Medicago truncatula: one gene and its partners. The protein of the gene in region 2 binds, or shares a complex with, the protein of the main gene of each other region. Links are inferred from orthologs where the notes say so. Each region holds a gene or a part of one and is shown on either strand. Other genes may lie near its edges.

Region 1 (7,980 bases), on a different chromosome or scaffold from region 2:
AAAGGTGTCAATGATTCAATTAACCCTGGTTCAGTTAATTCTTCCATCAATTGATTGAAGTCTTCCCCGCAGTCGTTGTCGAACAAATTGTAGTAACTATCCTCTAACCTTAAACTAACCAAAGTGCAAACAATTGACTTAGCCATTAATAATACTACTTTGCCAGGAACCACCATCTCATATTTCTCCTTATCAGGGTCTTCAGAGATAAGTGAGAAAATTATAATGAAAAATTGTAATAATGAACAATTATTTTGAGATAGATTGATAATAAACTTTATCGGGAGAGAATGATGTAAAAGAAACTATAAGAGTGATAAAGAATAAGAGAGAAGACAATTAATGAAAGAGAGTGAAACATCAACGATAAACTTCAATCGTAGCATTGTCCCTAACTTTAACCTAACACAAACATTGACCTTGTTCAAACTTGAACCCTAAACACCAATAAGTCATAAGAGAAATTTGTATAACTATTAAACATTGTATGATAAACATGATGTGGAATAAATAGTCACAAGAAACTGGATTTAAATTGCGATCCTTTTAAAATTATTCCTGAAGCTTAATAAGTTTATATTCTCAACAATTTTTTTGGTAAATGTTAGTCAAATAAGATTATAAAGTTTTAAAACAAATGGTTTATATAGGACCAAAACATTTTGTATTAAATAAACTTTAAATGTTTAAATAGTTTGAATAAGGACCAAAATATTCTGGATGAAATAAAATTTGAATGTTTAAACTGTATCAATTAAGGACCAGAATATTCTAGAGAATAATTATATATTTAATATATAAGCAGAATAAGAAAAACAATATTAAGCTTAGGTATAAAAACTTTTTTTTTTTGACAAATACTATATTGTTATGGAGAATGATTAGATAATTAATATTAAAGCATAATGATCAAATAATATTATATGTTGATTTAAACGTGAGTTTACTATTCAGAAATTGTTTTATATTGGACCAAAATGTTCTGGAAGCAGTTATATGATTAATATTAAATAAAATGATAAAATAATATTAATTAAGGATCAGGGTGGTCTGAAATTTGGTTGTGTTTTAAATAGGACAGGAATGTTCTTGATAGATTAATAAAAGAGTAAATAGTCAATTTTCCTCTTGAAATTGTAAGTTTCATCAATTACCACCCTGAAATTAACAAAACTTCAATTACCTCCCTGAAATTTCACAACGTTAGTCAATTTACCCCCTCCGTCAAATTTTTCTGTTAGTGAACATGACGTTTTGCAAATACCCCCCTGAAGTTTTGCACTTATGTGCAAAATGCCCCCCAAACTTAAAAATTTATATTATTTTTTTCTTAAAAACAAACAATTAATAGTTAAATATTAAAACTAACTATTAATTTTGGAATTTGGGAAAACTACATGCATATATACATCAAAATAGGCTCTAAAATGGGGAAAAATATGTATTTTTTAAAGTGACAATAATGGGATGATTTGTGGATTAATATTGGGGGTTGTGTAGTTTAAATGGTTTGAGCAAATTGTTGAAGGAGTTAAAAGACTAAAATGGTGAAGAAGAAAATATAAATTTAAATCTGATTATTAATTTGTTTATAAACCTCTAAAAATAATAATTTGTCTATTAGAAATAATCATTATTGTCACTTTAAAAATACACATTTTTCTCTATTTTGATGTATATATGTATGTAGTTTTTCCAAACTCCAAAATTAATAGTTAGCTTTAATATTTAACTATTAATTGTTTGTTTTTAAGAAAAAATAATATAAATTTTTAAGTTTAGGGGGCATTTTGCACATAAGTGCAAAACTTCAGGGGGGGTATTTGCAAAACGTCATGTTCACTAACAGAAAAATTTGACGGAGGGGGTAAATTGACTAACGTTGTGAAATTTCAGGGGGGTAATTGAAGTTTTGTTAATTTCAGGGGGGTAATTGATGAAACTTACAATTTCAGGGGGAAATTGACTATTTACTCATTAATAAAAGTATTATAATTGTGATAGTGTGTGTGTGGTGTAACACAAATAATAAGAGAAAGGAAATAGAGAATAACACAGGAGATTTATCGTGGTTCATCAAAGTTGGCTACTTTCAGTCCCCACACTTATGAGTGGCACTATATTTTCTTGGTCACACCGAATCAGCCTCTTACACTATGTATTGTCAACCTCATTAGGCTTCTACAATTCTTTGTTTTTGCAAAAGAAAGGTTGGAACAATTCTTACTCAAACTATTGTAACGAATAGACTTGAGAACTATATTACACTTTGTATGATGAGATGATTTTTGGATCAAAGATGTTTCTCAACTCATGTTTGAGATTCTAATAAACAAACTCAAAAGATTATGATCCAATAATACAGTGAGAGAGTTGGAGTTTGTTATTTATGAAGATTTTATGTTGTAGTGAAGATTTCACATACATAATTATGTTTTTTATGTTCAAACTATTGTCATAAACCTTCATAGCCTTCCTCTATTTATAGGAGATGTAAGCCTTGGAGAACAAGCTTAAAAAAGAGTTGTTGAACACGTTTTTTAATGAAAAAAATGCTCCATAATGTTGCTTGGTGAGAAAGCATGAATTATGTTTACTGAGAAAGTTATCCAAAACGTTTTCTCTGTTCCATCCAATATTGGGCACAAAGTAACACGTTTTGCAAGTTAGTTGTAATCTTGTTGTATAAACTTGTTGGTCACCTTTTAAGACGTGTTGATGTCATCTTGATGTCATATGATGATGCCATATCTAAGGAACGACTTTGAGAACTTTCTTTGATGGTTTTGCTTACCCAGAACTTGAGCAAAAGAAGGAACATGTTTTGCAAGTTGTTATGATGGTAATATTGTTGTAGAAGCTTGTCAGCCACTTCATAAGATGTGTCGATGTCATATGCTTTTTTCACGAGGAACAACTTCGAGATATTTCTTTAATGGATCTTTTCACTTATTCCTTAATGGGTTGAACTCTTTTAAGGTCATTATGATGAAATCTATGTTCTTTTGCTTCCATGTGCAATAATGTCTTGATTTGTCTTGACATTTTGTCTTTTAATTCTTTAAGGATCTTGATTATTATGACCATTTATTCCTTCTTTTGATGAGACAAAGAGAATAAAATTTATTTTTGATCTTAATTACAAAGATCTTTGACATTGCTCAAAAGTTCACATTTTGTCATTTGATTTGTTTGTTGTTTTGATGAAGATGTTTTTGTTAGCTTTGCAAGGTCAGAACATTCTCGTTAATACATTCTCACAAAACACGTTAGTAGATAACAAGATAATAATTGTAATACGTTTGTTATCATTGAAACATCAAGAGAGGATGTTCTCCTCACTTTGTATAACCATAATGTTCTTTGTAGGAACATGAGAAACTTTTTTCAGTCAAAATTCCTTTGATTGATTTCTATTCTCCCAAATCATATCTTGAATCATCCCAAGTCTTTTATGATGAAATCTTAGTGCATATGATCATCAATTTTCTTCCATGTGATCATAAATTTTCTTCTTTGATAATTCTCCAATTAATGAACGACTTAATGAATAACTCATTCATGAATTAGTTTCTCTTCAAAGTTGATATAATCATTTCGATGAAGTAATGAGAATATTTTCGAGTGTAATAGTCATCTTCATCATGAGAACATTCTTTCATTAAAGTTGATAATGTTCTCTTCTATACGAGAAAACAATATCTTCTTGGTCAATTAACCTTAAATTATGCAATTATTCTCTTAGTGATTCCATACAATGTTTCTTGTCCATTGAGTATCTTTCAAATATTAACCATTTATTCGTCGAATCTTTAAGGCTTTGTTGAAAACTATGTCGTGACGAGGACGAGTCAATTAATCATGAAATTCATATTTCTGTTGAATCTTCAATCAACACTTATTTGATTCAAATAATATTTCTTCTATATCTTCTTTAAGCCTGTGGTGCTACTATTTTGATATTCTTCCACAAAGTATATATATACACTTGTAAGAGACTTCTTTTTTATCTACTTCTATTGAAAAGACTTAAGTGCAAACATTAGTAGATCATCATGGAATGAAATTAAAAATACACAATTAAATAAAATCCAGAATTATGTTCTATACAAAATGTGAATAACATTTTAATGTAAAAATATCAATAGTCCTTATTTTTTTTTTTTGAAATATCAATTCTCTTTATAATTGCTAGGGGAGGACGAGTAAAAATTGGTAGGAGAATGAAAATTTGGTAGGAGAATTCAAAAAGTTAGCTTTTAAAATTTTCATGTTTAACTAGCATAGTTAAATAAAATTCATAAAATACATTTATCATCTTCCATAATTTGAAATATTAAAAAAAAAAAAATCATGTAATCAAATTTTTTTTTATAAAGAAATAAAAATAAACAAATATGTCATTTTATATTTACCAGTCATTTTACCAAACATTTTAATTTTAATAGGCTATATTTTCAGTTACAAGTTATCAGTAATTAACTATAAACTAAATTTTTCCCTTAAAAAAAAAAAAACTATAAACTAAATTTTCAACTATCAACCAGCTTATATCTTATTTTTACCAACACACCATTTTTTATCTCTCTCCGTCATATATTATGGACTATGAACCATTACCAAACTTATTTTCAAACCTTGTTAGCGGATGGTTTAAGCGTGTGTCCATTTCAACGACGTAGCTGCTGTTTTGTTTTTCTCTTTTTTCATGTAATAAAAAAAAAACATGATTCTGAATTTATTATTTATCTGACCTAAGTAAAAGAAATTGCTGAAAGTAACAAAAAAAAAAAAAGAAAAAAAAAAGGAGAATGGCCGTAGGGATAAGCTGTTTGCTATAGGCGAAATAAAAAGGAACGCGAATAAATTAAAACGAAGAGAAATTAGCGAGGAGGGGGATACTGCAGACGGAGCGATAAATCACAGATCTATCTATTCATCGGAGAAGAAGAGAACATAGCAGAGCGCGTGCGTACTTCTCTCCCTCACGCGCTTCTTCGATTCTGGTTAACTCTTCTTTCCCCTCTTCGTTTCTTCATTCCATTTTCCTGTATAAGAATTGAATTGCAGTAATTTCGTTTATTTAATCAAATTATCTTCGTTCCTCTTTCAAATTGCTAGATTACTTCATTTGTTATCTCTTTCATTTCCTATTGCATATTTTGCATTATCGTACAACAATTATTTTTTCAATTTGTCACTTAAACCTATGATATTTGCAGCTTCCGCATTCAATTTTGAACTTATAAAAGTGATATAGATTCGTTTTTCTTATGATTTGCATCCATAGTCTTATTCAATTAGGTTAGCATTTTCATACGGTTTCACAAGTGCTTATGTCAGTTGATAAGCTCAAATAAGTCAGTCCAAACAATTATGTAGTGTTCGCATGCTATTTAGTACAAAATGTCAAATAGCTGTTATAAAGAAGCTATAACATTATCGCATAGCGGAATCTGATTAAATCACTATTTTCCGCGAACCGCAATTGACAATACTGGTGTCAAGTATCTTGCTTCTTTTACAATATTGTATTTAGTTTTTACACTGTTAAAAGAAGTGACGTGCATTTGTTTGTTTTCTCAGAGCTCTGTGCTGGTTCTCATTGCCTTTTATTTCATGATATTGAGATTCGATGGCAAGCATTCCTGGAAAATTTGCTCCTTCTAATGGATCTATCTATGTTTGCAACTTGCCTTATGGGACTGACGATAATATGTTGGCTGAATATTTTGGCACCATTGGAGTAATAAAGGTATGGAGTCTGCAACTATCCTTCGATTCAAAACAATGCTATGTTATTCTCCAATTTTATTTTTCAAGGAAAGGAAATTTTACAGGATTTAGGAATATAACTACCAGAACGTGTTGGTAATGTTTGTGACTTTATTATGGTCAGTTTGGAAATTCATATTTCTATGTAAGATGTGATTACTTGAATGTTTTTTTTGTCTGTCCTTGCAAAGTGAGGTTTATTTGGGATTACTGAATGATTGATTTGTTTTTTTTTTTGTTGCATTTTGATTTCCTATTTATGCGGTTCTGTTTTTCTGTGTTGCGTTCTATTTCCAGATTATCATTCATTTTTCATTCACAATCCATGTTTTGCAGAAAGATAAACGTACAGGGAGACCTAAAATATGGTTATATCATGACAAAGAGACTAATGAACCAAAGGGAGATGCTACTGTGACATATGAGGATCCACATGCTGCCGTGGCTGCTGTTGAGTGGTTTAACAACAAAGATTTTCATGGCAATACAATTGGAGTTTATATAGCGGAGTCAAAAAACAAGGATGACCAAACATATACTGCAATAGCAGAACCGGTTGTTGCGGGTACTGATGTCGGACCAGAGGAAACTGAAAGTGATGTCGATGGTGTTAATGGAAGAGGCAGAGGTCAAATTGATGCTTCCAGCAAACCATGGCAACAAGAGGGCGATTGGATGTGTCCGAATACAAGGTCTGTGATATGAGATCGGTGAGCAGCTCTTTCTTGCTCTTTTACACATTGTTTCAGTCATAGTTTTTTGCAGAAAGAATAACACTTTTTTTTTTGTCATAGCAGTTGCTCGAATGTGAATTTTGCTTTTCGGGGTGCGTGTAATCGCTGTGGAAGTGCACGCCCTGCTGGTGCTTCTGGCGTTGCAGGAGGAGGTGGCCGTGGCAGGGGACGTTCTGGGCCAGATGCAGGGGGTATTGGCCGTCCAGCTGGTGCAACTGCAGGACTATTTGGTCCCAATGACTGGCCTTGTCCAATGTACGATTTTGTCACATTATCCATCCCCACATTCTTTCCGTGTGTCTGATTTATTTATACTTGTTTTTTATTTTATATTTTGTTTCTCAATTCTAATTCACTATTTTAGCGATAACAATTAACACATATATATTTCTTATTAAATTTGATAAACACGTTGCCCAGTTTCATCAATTGGGTTACTCATTACTTGTTGTGTTGTATTATGTTGGACGTAGTGCTGGCGAACAGTTAAGCCACAAGTAAATTGAATATGATAGTGAGATATATGTTTGTATATGTATAATACACAAAGACAACATACTCTTGTGAATGAACATGGCTCAGAGAAGAGTTAATGATACCTGTTTTCTTTAATTGATACCTCCTGATTTTGCACTTTGCAACGTTGGCTGCATGAGATTTGTTAACTTTGATAAGGAAATTTTATAAACTAGCCAAATTGCGTTCCCTTTTGCATTGAGTATTAATTTTGGCACATCCCGACCCAATCTATCATTTTATCATCTACTATTCTAGTTCTCTATGAATTTTAAAGGAAGCAATCATCATGTGAGAGGTTGATTGAGTGCAAATCTAGTGGCCTTTCCAATTTATATAAGGTCAACTGATTCTGTTACAATTTACAGCCAATAAGTGTTTATAGGCTGTTGATAATATGATGATGACGTTGAGGTGAGCTTTGTAACTTCTTTGACTTTGTTGTTAACCTCTCCCCGGGTTCTGGTTCTTGTCCTCATCTACTGAACTTCTCTTTCCTCTGTCTCTTTTGTCCTTGTGGGTTGTGACAGGGTTCCAGTTGTTGTAGCAAATTTAGGACTAAGATTGTACACTGTTGGAACTTGGGAGTGTAGTGCAAGTTGGCTATATGATATGGGGCTTATGGTCAGTTATATTATCACTAGTTTTTATTCATTTTGAATGAGTCTTGCTCTGCTTAACTGAACAGGCTAATATGATACGGGGCTTATGGTCAGTTATATTATCACCAGTTTATTCATTTTGAATGAGTCTTGCTCTGCTTAACTGAACATTAGGCCGAGGCTGTTATACAGTACTTATACCTGACATTAAACTTGGAATTGACCTGCATGATGTGGCTTGTACAAGATTTTTTATTTTTCAATGAAAATTTTAACGTAATGATTTATCTTTCTTGTCTTCTTTTTTGACATAGGTGTGGCAATATCAATTGGGCAAAGCGGTTAAAATGCAA
Region 2 (7,708 bases):
TTCTATCCAATTCAATTTTTCGCTGATGATTTAAACTTTTTTTATCCTTAGTTTTCATTTCGTGTTCTTCTTCTCTTCAATTAAATTTTTTGCTTTCTTCAATTCAATTTTTTTTATTTCAATTCAATTCCTTATAATGATTTCGACATGCAGTATGTTGTGTTTTTTTTTTATTCCAATCAATTCAATTTCCAAAATATTCAATAAAGTTCAATTCCTCATAATTTTAATTAAACGATATGAATTTTTTGTTCTCAATCATCTTTCTTATCATGTGTACACCAAACACATGATAGGATAAGTGTCTATCATGTCACTATCCTATCCTATCCTATCCTTAACCATTTTCTAATCCTATCATGTCTCTTGAATATCATGTGCACAAAACGGACCCTAAATGGAAAACCACATTGATATGATGGCGGAGCTAGAAAAAAAGTCTAGAGTGGGCCATAAATAGTGATGGAGCTTAATTTTCTTACAAGTACATTTTATTATTGGTTAGTTCCAATGACTACAAATTTGTTATTTGTTGAATATAATTCAAACCGATATTTTAAAATCTGAACCGTTTATCAACCTTAATAAAGTACAAGATAATTGATCGAACAACTAGGTCATTGAACCTAACGACTGAATTAAATAACTCGACTTCAATAAACAGATGTATAGGTATTAAATCGAATTGAATCAAACGACCGAGTAAAAAAAAAATTAAAATAAAACTCATGACATATATATTAATGTAAAAAAGATCATTACATAAGAAAATATACTTATAATCAAGTACAATAATGAAATATATTTTAATTTAATAAAGAATATAGTATTTTTTTTTACCTTTTTTTTTAGGGAAGTTTTTTTTTTTTTTTTACCTAAAAAATAATGTTTATACAATTAAATATTTTTATGATATCATGTTTTTTAAGGATATTTTAACATTTATGTTATATGTTATGCATTATAAAAGATGGTTGAGGTCCTCTTTTATATAAAAAATATGTTATGTGTTTTGAAAGAGAATTTTTTTGACAAAAAAAGAGTTGAAGTTTCCTTTGTATAAAAATAAAATAAAATAAAAGAGTAAAGAGACAATTGTACCCAAAAATAAGAGTAAGGAAGGAAAAGATTATTTTAAATTGAATAAAGGAGTTATGTTTTATTAAAGAAAGAAAGGATTAAGTAACAAAAAAAAAGGATTATTTTAACAATTATGAATGCTTTTTTTTATACAAAAGAAAATAAAAGAGTAATGAAAATGGCTTTGGCAAGAGTTGAACCTAGCACATAAGACTTGGCAAAAAGGCTCTTAACCACTACAGCATGCTACACAATCATCATATAATTACAAAACATAATATATATATATAATAAGAAGAAAAAAATTGGGGATGAGCCATGGCCCACCTTGGCCCATGAGGGGCTCCGCCTCTGGATATGAAGAGTCATTTGCATTGCATTATGGGAAAGGAGAGTCCAAGGGCAACCCAACAAGGAATTGAGTGATTTGAAGTAAGGGTTGAAGCCCCAGATGGCTAACCCTTGAGATCATATATCATAGATAACTTTCATGACAGACACATAATAGGCCTACAAATTGTTCTGCCTGTTAAGTGACATCATTATGGAACAAATCCTAATAGCCAAACATTCTCTCAAAATAAAAAGCATCATATAAATTGGTAAAAAACAGATTCATGTAACACAGAAGAGAAAGCATGGAACGGGAGTTAAATTGCTGAAGGACGTCTGAAATTAATCCAGTAGAGTATGTTAGAAGATGAACACTTGGTACATTCACTTGAGAGAACTCTATGAATCTCTAATGTTATTCTTTCATTTCTGAATTCATAATCATTACAGTGTGCATCAGGTCTATTTAGAAACTGGTTATCCTACACACTAGCTCTAACAACCTGTAACTAACTTCGTCAATAAACTAATTCAGATTCAGAAGAATAAAGATATTACCTCACATATCTTTATGTTGAATTTACTTTGCCTTAGCGAATGAGCAAACTCCATTTCCTAAGTAAAAAGAACATAGTTGGATTATTCAAAACAAACTGTTGATGAATGATTATCCAAAAAACAAGAAGATGCTCAGAGAGTAAAATAAGATTTTAGATAGAAACTAACCTTCAAATGAGTAGGAGAAAGAACTCCTTCCAACTTTTGAATGTCACGTAAGTGCATCAATTCATGGTCTTCGCGGAAAGTAGTGAAAAAATTTCGAGCTGAGGACATCAAAAACAAAATATTTGATTTTATAAAACACATCTGATGGTTCACATTTCGGTCATGTTCGGATAAACAGATTAATTAAGCACTTATAACATAAGTGTCTATCATATAAGTTCTTGTATATAGGTTATTACTACAAGAAATCAAACTATTTTCGTATAAGGTAAAAGTTTTCTTAAGCTATCTTGGAGAGCTTATGGAAATCAACTGAAAAAAGCTTATGAATATGTCAAATTCTATTTCCATGAATTCTATCAAACATTCTCATAAGTGGTTATGTAAGTAGATAAGAACAAATAAGTCAATCCAAAACCAAACATTCCAATAAAACTATGCAAGTGTACATGAACTTATTGTACCTTCTTGAATATGCCCTTTCGCTACAAGGTCCATAAAACAATGGATAAACACCGGATAAAGCACACGAAGCAACTCATGCTGAAAAGAAAAAGAAAAAAAAGCAAAAATTAAAACATAATTTTGATTCAATAAACAAATTAAATGAAATTAAGCAATTAAACAGTGTATTAATTACCTTATATAAATCCAATGAAGAATAAGTCCAAGTTCTTAATCTACTATATCCATTATGATACCTTGCAGGACCATTCTCCAACCTGCAAAACACAATACATTACGAATTTACGTGAATTAGAGGAAGAATCGTTGAATGAAAAAATTAGGTTGAAGAATGGAAAATTACTGAGAGAATGCATGAAGGTGATTGGCAATGTCAGGTTCGAGAATGGAATTGGAGGATGAACTTGTTTTGTTTTGTTGAAATTCTTCTTGGAAAACTTTTTCGGTTTGTTTAAACCCTTTCTTCTTCAAGTATGCGGTTACGTAACCGAGAATTTCGTCTTCGTCCATTTTCGATTGCAAATTCGAGCTCAAAGCTCAAAAACCCTTTTACTTCACTTCACTTCGATTCTCAGAATCGCAGAGACACTTCGTGTTGAATTTGATTCTGGTCTCGTTAGGGTTGGTTCTGGAATCAGATCTGATAAATGGGCTTGGGCTCTTGAATAACAGGCCTTGCTCACTAAATCTCAGCCCAGATCAAAACATGTATGGGGATACTATTTACACTCTCCTTTCTATTGCTACACCCTCTTTTATCCAATCTTACCTTCTTTTTTTTTGTTTTCAAGAATAAGAATGCATGTCTTGCACGCATAAAGGATGCTTGAATCGCACAAAAAAAATTGTTTTAGAGCCGGTTTGTTATAGCTTTTTTAAGAAAATAATCACTTTTAAGAATATTTGATCCTTCCTTCAAAAAAAGAAAATTATTGGATCGTTCATTTGGAAAAAAAAAATTGGATTCTTTTGTTACAAGTTTTTTAAAAAAAAAAAATCTAAAAACAATTTTAAATGAGAAACTGTTGAGAGCATCTTCTCAAAAAAGTAAAACAAAATTCTAGGAGAAAGAAAATAAGGATCAAAAGAATTCATTTTATATAGTTTATATTCAATGCATGATATATGTAATGTCTGGGGTTCGAATCCCGACCATCAAAAAATAAAAACAAAGTAAGTTATTTCAAAAATATTTTTTTTTTTAAACTATGACAAACGCGCTCACAATTTTATGACATTTTCCTAACAGAAACAAATTAGATTGCAACTCATTATTACATATGGACTAAATCTAATATATTAAGTTGCATCATAAATTATTTCCTGTGTTAGCTTCTAACTGAACACTCGTTAATACAATCAAACAATCTAATATAATTAAATAGAAGTTCACATCAGTTCCCTGTTCATATATTGTCTAGTGAGACTGGGCAATTAGAGTGATATGTACGAAATGAAAAATTTCAAACTATGAGTAATAATTTATCACAGAAGTAAGTAAGCCTTACGTCTAAATAATTTAGTTAATGAGCCGCAAAGTTTGAGTATTTGGGACATCCAAAATGTAGAACTTAAATTGGAACTTGCTTCTTTAACCACGTTGCCCAATCTAAGTTCTAAAGTTCAAGTCAAGGTCCATTAACAGTCAACCATCCTTTGAAATTATGATTGATGATGATATCATCAATGATGAAATGAAACCAATTTTCTTTCAATTTGCGCGTGTGTTCCTTTTCTTATTTAGCCTAGCAGCCGCACCATAATGTTTCTGGAAGAGTTTTTTTATAGAAAGAAATTTGCAATTGCACCATGTATTTTATTGAAGTTTCCTAGAACCTGTTTTTCTCTATAAAAATATTCAACTTACAAAATTCTACGTAATTATTTTTAAAATAGTTATTTTATTGGGTGAAGAAAATAAGATTGTAAAAAAATATCTTACATGACGTATGATAATATCAATGGAAACTAATGCAAGTAGTTGATGCATAGTGTATGCGAGAGTTATAAATTTTTAACTATCTAGATTGATTTGTAGTCTTCGTAAAATGATTTTATAAATAAAATAGTATAGTATAAACTAAGGATATAAAATTGAAATATAAAAACTACACAAAAACTTGGTGTATCGTTTTTTATGATTAACATCCGAACTTTATACATTGTGGTTTACAATACACACACGATATGTATCAACAACTTATGTTAGATTTCTTGTCAAAAAACTTATGTTAGATTTAACGTTTTTTTTTTTTTTAGGGAATGTTAGATTTAACGGTTGATAGCCCCTCTATGTATATAGAGAGATATAGATAAATACAATTGATTTATTTGTTTTATCTTCTTATATATTAAAGTTAACCCGTAAGTCCTAATTTTAACCTAAATCCTATTGCATAATTTTACTGTTTTAATCCTAATGCTCACACCTAATCTCCTATTTTCATGAACAACCCTAATGCTCACACCTAATCTTCTTATCTTCTTATATATTAAAGTTAACCCGTAAGCTCTAATTTTAACCTAACCCTATTGCATAATTTTACTGTTTTAACCCTAATGCTCACACCTAATCTTTTATTTTCATGAACAATCCTAATGCTCACACCTAATCTTCTTATATATTAAAGTTAACATGTAAGCCCTAATTTTAACCTAAACCCTATTGCATAATTTTACTGTTTTAACCCTAATGCTCACACCTAATCTCCTATTTTCATGAACAACCCTAATGCTATCATCTAATCTTCTTATATATTAAAGTTAACCCGTAAGCTCTAAATTTAACCTAAACCTTATTGCATAATTTTACTGTTTTAACCCTAATGCTCACACCTAATATCCTATTTTGATGAACAACCCTAATGCTCACACCTAATTTTGACCTCTCTTCCTGTCTATGCTCTTACCTTCTTCAAGGCTCCGTCAGGTATAATTTCTTCCCTTGATTCTATTTTTTCTAAATTTTTTTGGGGGGGTTGTGAGGTGCTTAGGAAACTCTCTTGGGTTAGTTGGACCACTATTTGTTCACGGCGGGAGTTTGGAGGTTTGGGGGTGCGGAGGTTGAGGGAGTTTAATATTGCATTGTTAGGTAAATGGTGTTGGCGGCTGTTGGTAGAGAGGAATAGTTTATGGTATAGGGTTTTGGTGGCGAGATATGGTGAGGAGGATGGGAGGTTGGAGGTTGGGGGCTGGAGTGGTTCTGCGTGGTGGTGAGAAATCGCTAACATTAGGGATGGGGTGGAGGTTTCTGGTGGTGGTTGGTTTCAGGAGGGAGTATCTCGTATGGTGGGAGACGGGGTAGATACTTTATTTTGGCGTGATGTGTGGGTTGGTGATGTCCCGTTTTGTGTGCGCTTCAGGCACCTTTTTGACCTTACTTTAGATAAGTCTTGTTCGGTTGCGCATATGTTCTCTAGTGGGTGGGCGTTGGGGGAGAGGGTTGGAGATGGAGGCGGAGGTTGTAGGTGTGGGAGGAGGAGATGCTGGGGGAGTGTATTATTTTACTTCGTCATGTTTCTTTGCAGTCTAATGAGAAAGATACATGGAGATGGGCGCTGGATCATTCTGCAGGTTATACAGTCAGGAGTGCCTATCATTTGTTGACTTCTCAGGATCGGCCTCAGGTGGATGGTGCTGATGCTTTGGTTTGGCACATTCATGTTCCGCTTAAGGTCTTTATTTTTGCTTGGAGGTTGCTGAAGAACTGTTTGCCTTTAAGGCAAAATCTAGTGCATTATGGTATCCTTCCAGCCACTGTTGCGGGCTGTTTGTTAGGGTGCGACGCTTTGGAGTCTTCTCAGCATTTATTCATCTATTGTGATTATTATGGTTCTTTGTGGTCTCGGGTTCGGTCTTGGCTTGGTGCCTCAGGTCCAGACCCCTTATTGGTTTCAGAGCACTTCTTTCAGTTTACTCATTCAGCAGGAAGGGTGCGGGCTCGACGCTCTCTTTTGCAGCTTGTTTGGTTACTTTGTGCGTGGATCATTTGGAATGATCGGAATCAAAGGTTGTTTACTAATATAGGTAGTTCCATTGATCAGTTGTTGGATAAAGTGAAGCGACGCTCTTTGTGTTGGCTAAAAGCTAGTAATATCGTTTTTGTTTTCGGTTATGATTTGTGGTGGTCAAGGCCTTTGGATTGTTTGGGTCTGGCCTAAGTTTTTGTTGGACTTTGTATATCTGTAATTTTTTGGGCTCTCCTTGGTACACCTTGTACTACGGAGAGTTTTCGGTTTGTTATTATATAGGTTTCATTTTTGTTTGTTCAAAAAAAAACTTAGTTGGTAAAAATATTGTTGTATATAATATTTCAAAAATATATATATTGTTGCATATAAGTATGTTAAATCAAAGTTAGAAATTCGACTTCTCCATTTGTGTGCGTGAGTTTTCAATAATTTTTGTCATTTTATCCGTCTATAATAATAATTTTTGTAAAAGGGATGTGCTCTAGTAAAAAAAATATGTTTGCCATTTTGTGTGCATGAACTCCAACTTCTCAGTGTTATTGTTCGATGCTACAACCCCTGAAGTTTAGTGGTCTTTTCGTGTTCTAGACGTGCTTTGAATTTGGATGAGATGTCATCATTATTTGTTGTGTATAAATTGTATTCGCAGTGTCACGATCTCGAACCCATATCATCAAGGTTGAGTGGTTAATTTTTGTGTGTAAATTGTTATTATGCATTTTACTCTTAAGCATAATGCGTAGTAGTTCACTGGACGAGTCTAGTCAAAGAAAGTTAAAAGATTTGACTAACTTACATGGTCATTTGGTAGATGAATAAGTGCTTATATAAGCGTTCATTGAGCTTTAAAGTTTACTCTAATCTTGATGGACCCTGAAATATCAACTCACCTACAATGACTTGTCACCGTCTCACGGATCTACACACATGAAATTAGAGGGGCAATTGCCCCCACTAATGATTGTATTTTTTTTGAGAATGTTTGTATTATATTTATTGAAATGTTTGATATTTTAATTAAAGGAATATTAATAAGTGTCTCAAGATCAACTGATAAGAAATTCAAAAAAAAAAAAACTTTATCTTATAAATGATGTTATTAGTAATGTAGCTTAATACAAAAGTATTATTTT
Region 3 (7,759 bases), on a different chromosome or scaffold from region 2:
TCAGAGCAAGTCTTGTCATTTTTAACTACTGTCTCCTGAATTCGACCCTTTGATAGGAGTAGATAAATTTTTTAACAAAAACTTTTATATGCAAGCTTCAATATTTTCTATCAAAGTGCATATGCTCAACTCGATGAAAAATAACCTTCATTTTAGTGCATTTTTCTAATAATATCAAAGTGCATCTGCTCAACTCGATGAAAAATAACCTTCATTTTAGTGCATGTGCATCATAATATGTAAGTTTATATCTCAGAACTCCTGGCCAAGTGTAGGAAAGGTTTAAGCCGAAGTGTGTATGAGCCTTTAAGGAACCAGAAAACTAACCTCTGCAAGGAGGCTGCAACACATAATCTTAGCATCTTATGGTGCATTTAGCTTCATTAGTAGCACTTATTAATCCTCAAAAGACAAAGTTCACTCAACCCAAAGTTTGATCAATGATAAGAGATCTAATGTTAATCTGATAAATTGTCCTAGAACTATAAAGCCTATGGAAGAAGGGAGGGAAATCTCAACAAAAATGTACAATCAAAACAAGAGATATATGTACAGCATAATTATGCATGAGTGGGGTCCAAAGGACAGCACCATGGTCAATCAAGTTTAAGATGAGGAAGTTGGCAGCGTATAGTCAACAACAGAACTGTGTCCAGCAGTCCGGCTATTATAGTGCTAACAGTGCCCATATTCATTGTTAATGAATAATGTACCATACAATTACCCTGTTGATCCAAAGAGTTAAGCGATTTAAGGCAAGATTATAGATCCTAACCTCAGATTTGACAGATACATTAGATAACCGATTATTGAACCAATACAGGTTATTTAGGATTAGGAACTGATTCACAGGTTTGAAGTTTAAGAACCATTAATACCGACTTTGGCTTATAGAAGCTTGGGAATATCCTACTTGAGAAAGAATTCTCTGTAGAAGACCTTTAAAGACTCGTATAAAAATTGAATTGGAGACTAATACCAGTAACTAACTAACAACTAACAACTTCCCAACTATTAACTTTAAACCACCATTGCAGGCCACTGTGACATAGCATGCTTATTGCCTGCAATAAGCAAATGAAGACCATATATCCATAAAGGCAGACCAGAAGTGATATTTCTAGCTAATAGAAGTGTAAGATTTAAATAAAGTACTTACAAAAAGATGTTCAATAAGTATAGTATTCTGTGTACAGAAATGTTCATTAGAATTTTAGTTAGCTTTTCTTAGTATTCTTATAACAGTTAAGTTATTCATTTATGGGTTAATGGTGCTTTACCCCCTGTAATATAGGTCATTTTTGGTTTTCCTGTAAAAAAAAAAAAAAAAATTTACAGGGGGGTAAATCAAAAAAAATATTTTACAGGGGGAAAACCAAAAATGACCTATATGACAGGGGGTAAAGCACCATTAACCCTTCATTTATTTAGTTTTGCATTTCTCTTTTAATACATGTTGGGCAGGTGATTAAACTTTTTTAAATCACATGGTTCCCTTGAGAATAGTGACAACAGCATGTATGTAGCATTCCATTTCCAGCAGTATTTGAAGATAAATTTAGATTCTTGTTCCCCAAGATTTATATTTGCAACTTTTATTAACAAAAGAGTACCTTGCGAATCAAATAGAGGAAATCCTCAACTGATAGCTTCCCCCTCTGTGATCCAATATCTTGTGCTTTATGTACCTTGACAAAAAAATAAATAAAAAATCATGTAAGGACAAAGGCCAACCACTCCGTGGCACTTAGACTAAGTTGAACAATTAGATACATTAGAATGATACTTACCAGTTCTGTAATATATTCTACAACGATGTCATCCATAAGCGCCACACTTTCAGGAAGTGGCTAATTCAAGTGGAAAACAAGAATAAGTAAAAGTTCAAATTAATATCATAATCTAAAGAATAAAAAATTTGCAAACATAGTATGAAAAATGAAAAAGTTAGAATGAGAATTACATTAGGATCATCTCCGAAGCCATACATCATGTGCTGCACTATAGAAACCAATGAAGAAGATTAGGAAGACAATAGAAATAACTACGCTAAAATTTAAAAACTTAGGAACAAAAATTATTACATTCTCTTTGGAAAACTCCTCTTCTGCGCTTGGATGAAGTGTCTGGTGGTTGTGAGGAAGCTGCTCTTTGTTTTGATGAGGTTCCGGCGGCAGAATTGCTCATTGTTGTTGGTTAATGCTTCCACTGTCATTTTAGTAACTATAGTTAGAGGAAAGAGGAAACTGAAAATACATAAAACTTGAATTTTTTGATAAATGTGTGCAGGTTCTGCTATGCTTCCTGTGCACACATAATCCTATAGAATAAAAACTGGAATGATGACTACACTTATAGTCATCAAAATGAATACAAATACAACCATCGTATCACTGACACCTCTGATTGAAGGCGTGTCGGGTGTCTGAAAACTACAAATGTGATTACATTCAATTAATTCACTTTTTTTATCACTAGTGTTGATGTGTCAGTGTCAAGATCATGTCTGTGTATGTGTCAGTGTCAAGATCGTGTCTGTGTATGTGTCAGTATTTCATGCAATACAACTAAACTTATTTATTTATGATAAAATTTCCAATTCAGGTATTAACCTTATTGAGGCATTTTGACAAACACCTTGCGAACAAACATGTTAAACAAGAAAACAAACAAAAGGGGTTATTTTTCTGCACCCCATTAGTTTCACAGAATTGTAACAACTAAAATATGCATTTCTCCATTATCTTCAATTATTGTTCTACCAAATCAAGCCCTAATTTGAGAACTTATTACCCTGTTTTCGTATTGAGTTATTATGGGTTATGATGATTTTGCTTCAACAATGAACAAAACAGGGACTACAATTAACCTAGCATTACACAGCAAAATTTGCATGTTTCAAGTAACTGAATCGAACGAATGAAAGAAAGAGCAGTGTGGGTTGGATCTTCTTACCTCGAAGAAACGGCTCCGTTTAGGGTGCGCTACGTTGATGGGTCTCCCACGCTGCGAGATGTGGATTAGCAACGTTTGTAGGTTGTTTTACTGTGCACTGCTTAAGCAATCATAAAAGCCATTTTTTTGTTGAGGGAATTATAAAAGCCACCTTTTTAATTATTTTGTATAAAGAAAAATTTGGAATATTTTCAATTATATTTTAATTTTACGCGGTTTTAATAAGGTTCTCATAAAACGTAAGTGGGCCTTAGTAAGATTTTCATAAAGAACTTGGTCTTAGTAGAATTTTCATAGAACATAAATAAGTAATTGTAGGAACCAAATTTTGTTACAAAATATAAATGCTTAGTAGGGGTGTAACAATTTGGATTGTTAATATTGTTGAATGTTTAAAAATGTTAAATAAAAATTACAAGTAATAACTAGGGTGTTCGCGGTGCGGTTTGATTCAGTTTTACGGTTAATACTTAAAAGTCATATGAACTGTAAGATAAACAGACATGCGTTTTGGTTTAGTTCGGTCGGCTTTTAAAATAAAATCTGAATCAAACCAAACCAAACCAATGTGGTTTGGGTTGGATCAATTGGTGTGGTTTTTCTCATACAATTTTTTGTTTTCAACGTTAAAATCAAGTTAAAAAGCTAGAACACAACATATTTTCAGCTATGTTTTCAACGATGTTTTAAATGTCATTCAACATTACAATTTCATTTTCATCTAACAATGTTCCCAACAACATAAACCAAATTAAAAAGATGGATAAAAAGTTATCCTATTTCGAAAGAAATTCTAAATACTAAGATTTTACATTATCTAAAAGTCCAAGTAACACAGATATATTTTTGAAATAAAAATCAAATAAGAAATTTAACAAAGCAAAAAATATGTCATTTTATAAAAGTTATCATTGAGGCTATGTGAGTGTTTGGTTTAGGTGACAAATGTTTAATTAGTGTTTATCTTATGTTGCGGTTTGATTTGGTTTGGTTCGGTTGATAAAATAAAAACCACAAACCAAACTAAACTATACAGTTGAGTAAGAAAGTGATCCAAATACATCCGAACCAAATGCGGTTTTTTACAATTTCAGTTTGGATTGGTTCAGTTTGCGGTTTTTTATTGGGTTGGTTCGATTTTGAACACCCTAAGTATTAACGCAATGTTTCTATTAAATATTTTTATTTTATTTATACAAATATCTGTTAAATAATTGAAGTGTATCAGTCAATTGTAGAATTTATTTTTTTATATATGCAAAAATAAATTGTTATACACATACATAAAAAAAAGTCGATATGATAAAATTTTGAAAACTTATAACTATTTTCAAAATATCAAAATTAATGTAGAATTTTATTAAATAACCTTTTATTCAACAATCAAGTTCAGTGAGTTGGAATTCATGAATTATGCCCAGACCTGCACTGAATTATTATGTTAGTTTATAATGTGTCCGACGAGGATGGATGAGAGGCAACAATGACGGAAAGTGATATCTTTTATGATCTCTTCCAACAAATAATTGTTAGTTACTATCTTTTTCTCCAACAAAATTCTATTTTTATGCACACTTGTCTTCTCATAACAAACAATTGTTAGTTACTATCATTTTCTCCAACAAATTTTTATTTTTTTGCACACTCTATCTCTCATAACAAACAATTGTCAATTTTAAGATAATAAGAAACAAATTTTATTTTATTTTTTTATTAAAAAACAAACTTTAGTTTTTCAAATATATAACATTAATTAGTTCTATTGAAATTTCAAATATATAACATTAATTAGTTCTATTAAAAAAAAATAAGAGTAATTAACAAAGGGTATAACTGACAAATTGTACTTTTAAAATACCAAAACGGCCGTTAAATAAGAACGTTAGATTCACACTTAAACAAAAATAAAGAGAGTATTAAACAAAAAGTTTTTTAATAATGATTCCAAAATTAATTGCATTTTTAAAATCAATATTTATGTTTAAAAAATAGAATCCTAAAAGGTTACAAAACCTACAAATCTCAACCATTAAAAAACTTACAAGTATATCTAATGTTTTGCAAAAAAAAAATCAAGTCTCCTACGGTAGGAGACCTAAAGAGGTCTCCCACTGTAGCCTTTGCCCGAAGAAACAGATACGCGAGTTAATTCTCCTCTTTCTACCACGTTCAAGTAGATGATGTTGCGATGCTGTTTTTTTTTTTTTAATCATATTCAGATTCTAAAATCTGAAATATTTTTACATATTTTTTTACATTTTTACAAGGTGTTTACGCCGTCGTTCGTATTCTATAATTCGAACTAGATAAGACCACTAAGAAATCAAATAGGATAAGAAAAGAAGGATATTGTATATTTTCGTTAAAAAAAAAAAAAAAAAATGTTTGTGGGTTTTTTTGGTACTAGCCCAACCTACCTGGGCAAATTTGGTTTTAAGAATTTATTTTTCCTTTCTCATGTGTCCTTCAAAATCTATAATTTAAATTAGGGACATGTTAACGAGAGTCTTCAGAGCACTTTTTAAACACTTTAAATGGTAAATTTTTAATAAAAAAAAAATTGTGTATTGAATGCATTGGAAATTGTAGTAGTTGACTTTTTAAAAGAATAATTACTAAATTTTTGATGCTTAAAGAGTGTCTCAGGGGCACTCGTTAACAAGACCCTTTAAATTATAATTGATATGAAGGTCTTTGTCGATCATTGTACCATCCCTGAAAATTGTTCATCCTCCTAATATCTTTGTGGTTTATTCGACCATTTATTTGGTCTAGTTGTTCCTTCAAGTCAGACAGTGTGACATCAATGTGGACTCTGAACCAATTAAGTTTTCCTCTGTTGTAGTAAACTGCAACTAGCATGGTGTTTACATCTATTGGATAAGTGTCCATGATTTTGCGGTGTGATTTGCAAATGAACAGAACACTCTACTTTATAGAAGCTTATATGTGTCATAGACCACAGAAGCTGTCACTACAATTTGAACCACATAAATATTTTTGTATTTGACTGGTTCGGATTATATAATATGAATTGTACCAAACCCTTCAAAACACAAGTTTCAACACATGCTTATAACATTTCAGATTACGTAATCCAAAAAAAATCAAAATAATTTCGGATTATATAATTTGAACCAGTCCAAAATCTAGGCGGTGTGTTGGTCAGCAAGTCTCACTAGTTTCATGCATGTTCCATATGTTTTTGATTGGATTTGTATTGTTGATCATGTGTTTAAACCCTCCCTTGACTCTCTTTATAGTTTATGTTTTCATTTTGCATATAAATACTCACTCATTCTTCACAATTTCTCATTCCAGCTGATATCCTCTTATTAGTTTCCCTCTGCAAAGTTGCACTCCATATCTGTTTGAATTTGGGATTCGTATGGATTTGGGGCTGCTAATCAGAGTCGCCTTCTCTCACTCTATCATCTTGTATTCCCATCTTTTTCAGATGGTGAGCGAGAGGGATGACAAATCTTTTTCTCCCTTCATCTTCCTAAACCAAATATTTAATGTTATATGTGTACTATTTTGTTGTAATAAGTGTTATGTTAATGTGAATGTATTATGAATTCTTGATCAAATGATAAAATGTGTTGACCCTTGCCAATTTATATTATGCCTCTTTAAATTTTGTCATTTTAATTTATGGCATTTTAATAATTTATTTCATTGAAATTATAAAATTGTTTAAAAACCGTTCGAATTTGATAATCTGGAAACCATCAAATATGCTTCGAATTATAAATTTTAAACGGGATGAAATTTTCAGATTGGAGGGCGTGTGAGAAGTGAGAAAATAAATTCTCTTTGATTTTAAGTATGATGTTTCCAAAAGTACGTTCTCAAAATACAGTTGAAAAAATCTTCGAGAATTTATTTCCCCACTCTTCATGTATCTCACGCACCCACCGAAGGATTGCCTTAGATAAACACTTGTTGCTCCACGAATTTATTATTTGCCACACTTGGTCTTTGATAAAATCAAAAGTGTCCCCCTTGTTTCTCCCAATAATTGAAGATGGCCCTAAGTACCTGCCATTGTCTAATAAACAACTTAAACATCTAAAGTATTGTTGATAGAGTTTTGAATGGTTGGAGAAATATTTTTTATTTTGGTAGACTAATTAATTGTCTTGATCGTGCTTCATATACAAATAAAATGTGCTTCATGGTTTGTGTCTCATTCTCTTTTGCCCTTAAAAACAAAAGACAATCATATGCGAATAATTGGAGTACCCCTACAAATAGAGGTGTCATGAATATCCCCATGAACCCCAGCACGGCGGATAAAGGATGAAAGTCTCTCTACACATATAATGAAGGCTTAATTACACTTTTGGTCCTCGTGTTTTGGCCTACTCACGAAACTGGTCCTGCTCTTTTAAAACATAACAAAATGGTCCTTCAATTATCATTTTTGTTGCATTTTTCGTCCTACCTCCTATTTTCAAACTTCAGAAACGCAGAGAAATGACAATTTTAGGCGGTTTTAGACCTACCCCTATGCTCAACCATGAAATCAACAAGGAATAAAACATGTGGGCACAAGGAATCTATTCTATTCAGCACACTAACAAAAAAAAACCCTAATTTGAAACATATCTTAGAAATTAGGGTTTTTTTGGTTAGTGTGTTGAATAAAGTGGATTCTTTGTACCCACATGCTTTATTCCTTGTTTATTTCATGGTTGAGCATAGGGGATGGGTCTAAAACTGTCATTTCTATGCGTTTTTGGAGAATAGAATGGGGGGTAGGACGAAAAATGCAACAAAAATGATAATTGCAGGACCGTTT
Region 4 (7,093 bases), about 11 Mb from region 2:
AATTTCCAGTTTTATTGGATGAGCTTGTGGCCTCGAGTGATGGAATTTGTCGTCCTGCTCACAACCTCCATCTTAATAATGTGTTGTGTTTTGAAGTTGCCTCTTCGGCGATGGTTGCTTTGATTAATTCGGAGATTGCTCCATCCTCTCCTCTCCAATTCATTCTAGATGAAGTTCTGACGTCTAGATTGGGATCATTCGGTGTATCTTGTCAACCGCAAGTTTAATAAATGTGTTGATTTTATTACTTCGTCGAGACATAATTCCTCTTTTATTTATGTATTGTTGATAATTCCTCCATGTGTAGCCACTAAACTTCTAATTTAGTTGTGAAGTAGATAATTTATGTTTTTAGGCCTCACTTGAACATTGTCATTTCAAAGTTTGGTTTAATGTTTTCATTATATTGAAGTACCGTTGATCCTTTGAATTTTAGTGCTTCATACCAATTATTATTGGAAACCTTCAACACTAAACTATAAACTTCAACGTAACTTTTAATAGTATCTAAAACATACAATAACCCAGTAAATAAACTCATTTATCAAACACCTGTTTTAGCCAAACATGTTTACAAACTAATCAAATACAATATAAGCCAACAGATGATAAATACTAAACATAACTTAAATCGAGTATGACGCATTTGCTTTGTACAATGACACGGTGACAGAACATTAAAACGCAATAGCTTAAAAAACAAATGGTTAATCTTATTCTCATATATATGCTGGGTAAATTAGGACCTTAAAGGCAGTTGCACAATAAAAAATGGTGTTAAAATACAACAAATGATGTACCAAAATGCACAATGTGGGATAACAAATCAATTGCAGCCCATCTTATTCCTCTAAACGGGATTCAAATTCAACAGCACATGATTATACATAGTGAATGCCAACAAAACACCTTTCTGATACTCTTTTATGATTGATTCATTTCTAAAAAGGTGGGTATATTTTTCAAAAGTGAGACAACCAAATCAACTATTAAAAAAAAAAAAGTCTAAATCATAAAGAGTGTTCAAGAACATGTCAAGAAAGGTGTTGCAAGCATTCATCTGATATAAATGCTCCTTGGTAGCTAGCTAATATCGGTTAAACTGAGTCATCAGAGTCATCAGAGTCACTCCTGTCAGCATCCCCAGCGTTTGTATGAGTCTCTGGAACATCATTCTTTGATGCGGATGTAGCTGCAGGTTTTTTATTAGCACCTCGAGCATTCTCACCACCTTCTTGCTCAGCTACTTCCACATGTGAATCTCAGTCAAGAAAATAGCCAAAGGTTGTTTACAATTAACAATATAATGAAAGCAAAACACTTGCTTTTGTCATTGATGCAAATGCAAATGCAAATAGATACTACAAGCTATGCCATGAACCCCAGGTCAGATAGAGAAATGAGTTATCAGGGCAAAGAAAGTAATCGACAAAAAAATCTCAACAGACCTCCATTTCAAAGAATTTTTTTAAAGTGAAATCGTAAATTTGAATCTAAGACTTAGAATGTTTACTAAACAACTGCTTAAAACAAACAAGATGAAAGGATATCAATATTTTCAGCCGTTCCTCCAGCAATGATTTTGAGAAGATCTTTCTCAACACGAGAGACAAGCTCAGGCTGGAAAACGAAGAATGAAAACACATGGTAAGTAAGGGACACACAAACGCACAGATAATAGAGCGGCATCAGGTATGCTAAGATAATGCAAGCACATATGAATATGTTACATTAAGGTCAGGCTCTCTGCGGAATCTACGCTTACGGGCATCTCTCATGGGAGGGGTGAGACCATGTCGATACTCAATTACATCTGGAGCAGCATCACCAGATTCCCTCACCATAATCATCTGTTAATTGAATTCATTAAGAAGGCAATCAGTTATTTAATCATCCAAATCTAGGAGTATGATTAAGAATAAACAAATAATATGAATTAACGATAGATACCTGACCTGACCAATATCAGCAGTCTTAACCAAAGAGTTATCATCATAAGTCTTGTAAGATTCAACGACAGCAGGAAGGTCCAGCAGAGAAGCTGGGAAATGCTCATCCCCAATCACAAACGTTCCGCTTCTTCCATCATCGCTAAATTGCAAATCTAGCGACTTGTCTTCAGATGAAGAAGCATTGTTTTCATTCAAAAGACGCTCAATCCGCTCCGCAACATTAGGTGGAACTCTAAGTATGAATTGCTCCTCCATATCTAATTCCATCAGGTTGTTTTTAGAATCATTACAAATAGTAAATAATAATATAATCAAATTGAATTGAATTGAAGAATCGGGCATTGCAATTGATTGGTTTCATAACTGCATCAGTATATACCAATAATCAATGATAATCAGCATTCATGAGACAATTCCAATGGATTTTCAAATGAAATTTCACAAACAATAAAAGATCAAAATTGATTGGAAAAACAAAAACAACAAAAAAAAAAGGATTTTTATTACGAGCACGATATCGTGAAGTCTTTAATCAGTGATTTTATCTTGAACTGAGGCCCATGGATTTTTAAAATTGATTTATTACGAGCATGATTACATTGAATGTTTCCGAAATAACTTACAAAAATCAAAAATTGATTGAGGGCTTTCGAAGAAGAGATGATAAGAAACAATTTGATCGGTTCAATTTTGGAAGATGAGGTCTGTGGCAGCCGGAATTCGAAAGTGACGATGGCGCTAGGGTTTTCGGATTGGAAGGATTTGCGAGAGAAGAGAGAGAAAAAGATGAAGCAAATGAAGGGGATTGAAGAAAACACGTGGCTTTGGTTTGGGTCAGATTCATCATTCATCCAACGGATGCTATTGTTGTCTTCTCTAGGATGAGCTTATAACCGTTGGATCTAAGTTTAAAGGAAAAAGTAACAATTAAGGGTATTTTTGTTAGCTAATTTTCCCAAAAAATAATTTAGAGATTATTTTATAAAGATATTATGAAAAAACAGAATCAATTTGTTTGTTTTTTTTAATAATTCAGTTTATTTGGATATAGCAGTGTATAAAAGAGAGTTTACAGTTTTGTTTTTTTTTTTGCAAGAACCTTGTAAATAAGGATTTTTTTACGTTATACCTCAATGAATTGGAGGTAATTTATCCCTTTTAAAGAAAAATCTTTTTTATTTTTTTTTCGATCAAGATATTTTTATATCTAGAACATCAATGATATTTTTACTTTTTTTTTTTTTTTAAAGAAGTTAAATTAATCCACCTAAATTAACACTGGAGATAATTGTTGCAAAGGGTGAAAGGAAACATTGAAGAGTGAAGGAAGATGAGGGCTTCATTGAGATTTACCGGAAGAAAAAAAAAAAAAAAAAAAGACCGGTTCAAACTACGGAAGTGATCATCGAAAAGATATCAGAAAAACGAACGTCCTATTTCTCTTTAATTTGAGTTATTTATTTTGGGGTTAAATATGTTTTTGGTCCCTATAAATATACCAACTTTTCGTTTTAGTCCCTTTAAAATTTTCCTTCAACTTTTAGTCCCTATAAAATTTTCAATCACTACTTTTGGTCCATCTTTTAAAGTAAACTCATATGTAGAATTCATATTTTTGAATAAAATTTTGCAGACAAATTCATAATATTTTAAGAATCTCTCCCTAAAAAAATTAGAATTTTTTAACAAAACATAAATTTAATATGAATTTTTATATATTTTACGATTAAAAATTTGTATTTTGTTAAAAAATTCTAACTATTTTTTTGAAATATTTTTGGTTTAATTACACTTCTCGCATTTTGATAAGCTCAGGAAAATGGTCTTGCCTCTTTCAAATCGAACAAAGCCGTCCCTAAACTATCATGTTTTTGCAGTTTTAGTCCTATCTCCTATTTTCAACTTCAGAAATGCAGAGAAATGACAATTTTAGACTTACCCACTATGCTCAACCATGAAATAAACAAGGAATAAAGCATGTGGATATAAAGAATCCACTTTATTCAACACACTAACAAAAAAACCCTAATTTCTAAGATATGTTTTAAATTATGGTTTTTTTTGTTAGTGTTCTTAACAATTGAGCTGAGTAATAGTATCTTATAAAAGTTCTTATTTTTTTAGCCAAAAATAGTTGTTGTGATTTTCCTTTGTGATTTTTTTCTTTGAAAGAAATAGTATCTTATCATTTTTTTTGGTCGAATATAGTATCTTAACTTATAAAAAAGTTCTTACATCTCTTAGACCATTTTTTAGAGTCAAACAAATTGTTGTAGATTTCTTAATTTTTTGCTTCTTTTTTTTTTTTTTTTTTTATACAAAAAATGATCTCGTATCTCATTTATAAGTTCTTAAGTCTCTAAGGAAAAGGTTGTAGCAACTTTTCTGTCTAATTTTTTTTGCCTTTTTTTTTAATAAAAATGATCTAATATCTTATCATATTATCTTTTGCAAAAAAAAAATCTTTGGATAAAAGTTGTTATGTCTTTGAGCAAAAAAGTTGTCTTATCTTATATATAAAAGTTGTTAAGTACCTATATTTTTAAAGTTAAAATATGTTTTTGGTCCTTGGTAAAAAAAAAAAAAAATTAAAATCCATTCTTGCAAAATTTTTTATTTTTTAAAAAAGTCGTTGACCCCATTTTCTTGATGATTTGTCACTTTTTTGCATATGTGGCATTAGCTGACTGTGTTACTTTGTCCATGTGGCATTTATTTCAATTAACTTATTTGATAAATATTTTTAATAGACAAAAATTATATTTTTGAAATTAAAATAAAACAATTAATTTTTTTTGAAGAAAAAATAAAACAATTAATGTTATTTAGTTAAAAAAAAAATTAAATCATTTGCTAAAATAAAATCAAAATTCATAAGAAAAAAATTGGTTTTATTTAATTTGTTTCATCTTCTCCTTCTTCACGTGTTCTTCCAGTACCCTTCATCACAAAATGAAAAAAATAAAATACACACATCTTTATCTTCTCCACATGAATCTTCAACCCAAATAAAGAAACTTATCATCTTCATCTTCATATGCATTTGCGTTTTCTAGTATCCCATTCTTTCGAGATCTTGTTGTTCTTGAACTTGGGTTGAAGATTTTTTCAAGATCTTCTCAAACCAGATCTAGAATGTCTTGGAAAAAGTATCAAGATTTGCTAATCTCAGCAATTGATGATGATGACGGCGACGACCGTCACAGAAAAAACCCGGTTTGCGCCGCCCATACAGAAGGATGGAGTTGAGTTTGGAATGGAGCAAGCTTTGATTAGAGAACCATTATTGTCACTGTTCATTGGGTGAACAAGAATGGTTTTGTTTCAACATTGAATGGGTAAATTCGACAAAGAAGGAACGTTAGGAAGAAGAAGAAGAATGAACAAAGGGGATCAAGGAGGAAAAAAAAGGAAGGAAAAAAGAAGGACGAAGGAGATGATCAGAGAAAGGGATTTTATGATCTTTTAGAATTAGAAAATAAAAATTAAAATAACATTTTCTGATTTATTATTTTATTTTAAATTATTTAAATCTATGTAAATGTCATGTGTACATGGATGCAAAGTCAGCCTCTGCCATGTATGCAAAAATGTGATAAATCGTCAAGAAAGTGGGGTCAGGGACGTTTTTAAAAAACAAAAACTTTTGCGTAGATGAATTTCGAAAATTTATTTTACCTGGAACCAAAATACAAACTCACTATATTTGCAGAGACCAAAAACATATTTTAACCTATTTTTAAACACGATATACTCTTTCTATCATGTCTTGGCAACTACAAAATCCACCCTTTAAGGTCATTCGTGTGTGAGAGTTGTTGTTGCACAACCAAAACAAATGCACTACTTTAATTGTGGTCAGTATATCGCTGACCAAAGCCGATGACAAAGACAATCTACCAAGCTCTGAGTTTTGGATTTGAAGTTCACTTAGGAGTGAAGCAATTGTTGCAAATTGACTTAGACTGTGAGTTCCCCGCCTATTTTTTCAATGGCTTCCAATTTTCCATGCAATGTTATGTTAGTAGTGGTATAAAACATACACATAATGGGGTTTTGTTAATAATCCAATTATTGAAATTATCCATGCTCTCTTTCCCGTCCTTATTATCAAGCTGAAATCCATTTGTACACCATTTATGAAAACAAAAAGAACCATACCTATTGATGAAATTACTTCATGAGTTCCATATGGAAACAACTTGCCCATGTATGCGTCCAATGGTCGTAGCTCAATCCAGCCTGCAAATGGTACGAGTAGTGTGTTTAATTTCAGTTCTAGAAAATACTCTCTACAAAATATTCGCTATATCCTCCCATAATGAACCTATTGGAATAATAAAAAATTGTTTGAAAATTACAATCACTTTTAATTTTGAAGGAGGTATTACTTTTTTTCAATTTTACTCTAATTAATACTAATTGCATTACTCTCAACTCGATATATTTTACTCTGTATTTATAATAATGAGAAATATATCAATACTTAATAATGATAATTTAGTATCATTAGTATTTATCTCTTTTATTTATATAACTTTTTTCATTTGTGTGAAATGGTCAAATAATTTTTATTTTTTTTTGAAAGAGTCAAGTAGATTATTATTGTGGGACAAATGGAGTAATGCATTTCAAATGAAAATTACACATGGAAGAAATGATATTAGAAACAAAATCTATTTTCTATATGCAATTTAACTTTATCTAATAACTACGATTTATCCACATGAATGTTGAATCATGATGGGTTTATTTGTTGAAGTTCCAAAATATTATTTTTGCAAAATTAGGATGGTTCACGATGATTTTGATAGATTCACCGTGAATCTAAACATGCACTAAAGAAATTATTCTTTTTGAAAATCATGTCAATTGGATATACTTACAATCATTTGTGAAAGAAATTGAGGGAGTCTCAAAGATTTGAGAAGAAAACGACATATTTGCGTGAGTGCAAAAATGATAACCAATTGTAACTCAAACAAGGTCAAGAAAGATTTCATTGGTCTCCTTCCATTTTCATGGCCACCCCATAAACCATCTGAAACAATATGGGGTGGAGCCTCTAAATAAATTTTGTAACCTGCTTCATTCAATCTTTTAATTTCGTAGAACAAAGTATCATTTGAATTTATGCTCAT

Evidence for each region.
Region 1: transcription initiation factor TFIID subunit 5 (region 2) and transcription initiation factor TFIID subunit 15 share a complex: the UniProt entries of both Arabidopsis thaliana proteins name them as parts of the TFIID complex. The link is inferred for Medicago truncatula from reciprocal best matches to the Arabidopsis thaliana genes TAF5 and TAF15.
Region 3: transcription initiation factor TFIID subunit 5 (region 2) and transcription initiation factor TFIID subunit 13 share a complex: the UniProt entries of both Arabidopsis thaliana proteins name them as parts of the TFIID complex. The link is inferred for Medicago truncatula from reciprocal best matches to the Arabidopsis thaliana genes TAF5 and TAF13.
Region 4: transcription initiation factor TFIID subunit 5 (region 2) and transcription initiation factor TFIID subunit 7 share a complex: the UniProt entries of both Arabidopsis thaliana proteins name them as parts of the TFIID complex. The link is inferred for Medicago truncatula from reciprocal best matches to the Arabidopsis thaliana genes TAF5 and TAF7.

Annotation. Positions count from the first base shown.
Region 1 is NC_053045.1:36,232,807-36,240,786, forward strand, and holds the start of transcription initiation factor TFIID subunit 15, read left to right. Parts: upstream 1-4,809; 5' UTR 4,810-5,006; intron 5,007-5,586; 5' UTR 5,587-5,635; coding exon 5,636-5,755; intron 5,756-6,111; coding exon 6,112-6,467; intron 6,468-6,572; coding exon 6,573-6,764; intron 6,765-7,941; coding exon 7,942-7,980. UniProt on the Arabidopsis thaliana protein: TAFs are components of the transcription factor IID (TFIID) complex that is essential for mediating regulation of RNA polymerase transcription.
Region 2 is NC_053044.1:52,381,411-52,389,118, reverse strand, and holds the start of transcription initiation factor TFIID subunit 5, read right to left. Parts: upstream 3,225-7,708; 5' UTR 3,115-3,224; coding exon 2,948-3,114; intron 2,862-2,947; coding exon 2,780-2,861; intron 2,683-2,779; coding exon 2,604-2,682; intron 2,238-2,603; coding exon 2,140-2,237; intron 2,029-2,139; coding exon 1,972-2,028; intron 1-1,971. Other genes in the region: uncharacterized protein, read left to right, coding at 5,762-5,887, 6,132-6,764. UniProt on the Arabidopsis thaliana protein: TAFs are components of the transcription factor IID (TFIID) complex that is essential for mediating regulation of RNA polymerase transcription.
Region 3 is NC_053042.1:42,950,652-42,958,410, reverse strand, and holds the start of transcription initiation factor TFIID subunit 13, read right to left. Parts: upstream 3,114-7,759; 5' UTR 2,956-3,113; intron 2,209-2,955; 5' UTR 2,188-2,208; coding exon 2,085-2,187; intron 2,002-2,084; coding exon 1,964-2,001; intron 1,851-1,963; coding exon 1,791-1,850; intron 1,689-1,790; coding exon 1,614-1,688; intron 1,065-1,613; exon of another isoform or gene 328-1,064; intron 1-327. UniProt on the Arabidopsis thaliana protein: TAFs are components of the transcription factor IID (TFIID) complex that is essential for mediating regulation of RNA polymerase transcription. May be involved in polycomb repressive complex 2 (PRC2) mediated repression.
Region 4 is NC_053044.1:41,301,078-41,308,170, reverse strand, and holds transcription initiation factor TFIID subunit 7, read right to left. Parts: upstream 2,771-7,093; 5' UTR 2,576-2,770; intron 2,210-2,575; 5' UTR 2,208-2,209; coding exon 1,956-2,207; intron 1,851-1,955; coding exon 1,731-1,850; intron 1,621-1,730; coding exon 1,551-1,620; intron 1,256-1,550; coding exon 1,098-1,255; 3' UTR 693-1,097; downstream 1-692. UniProt on the Arabidopsis thaliana protein: TAFs are components of the transcription factor IID (TFIID) complex that is essential for mediating regulation of RNA polymerase transcription.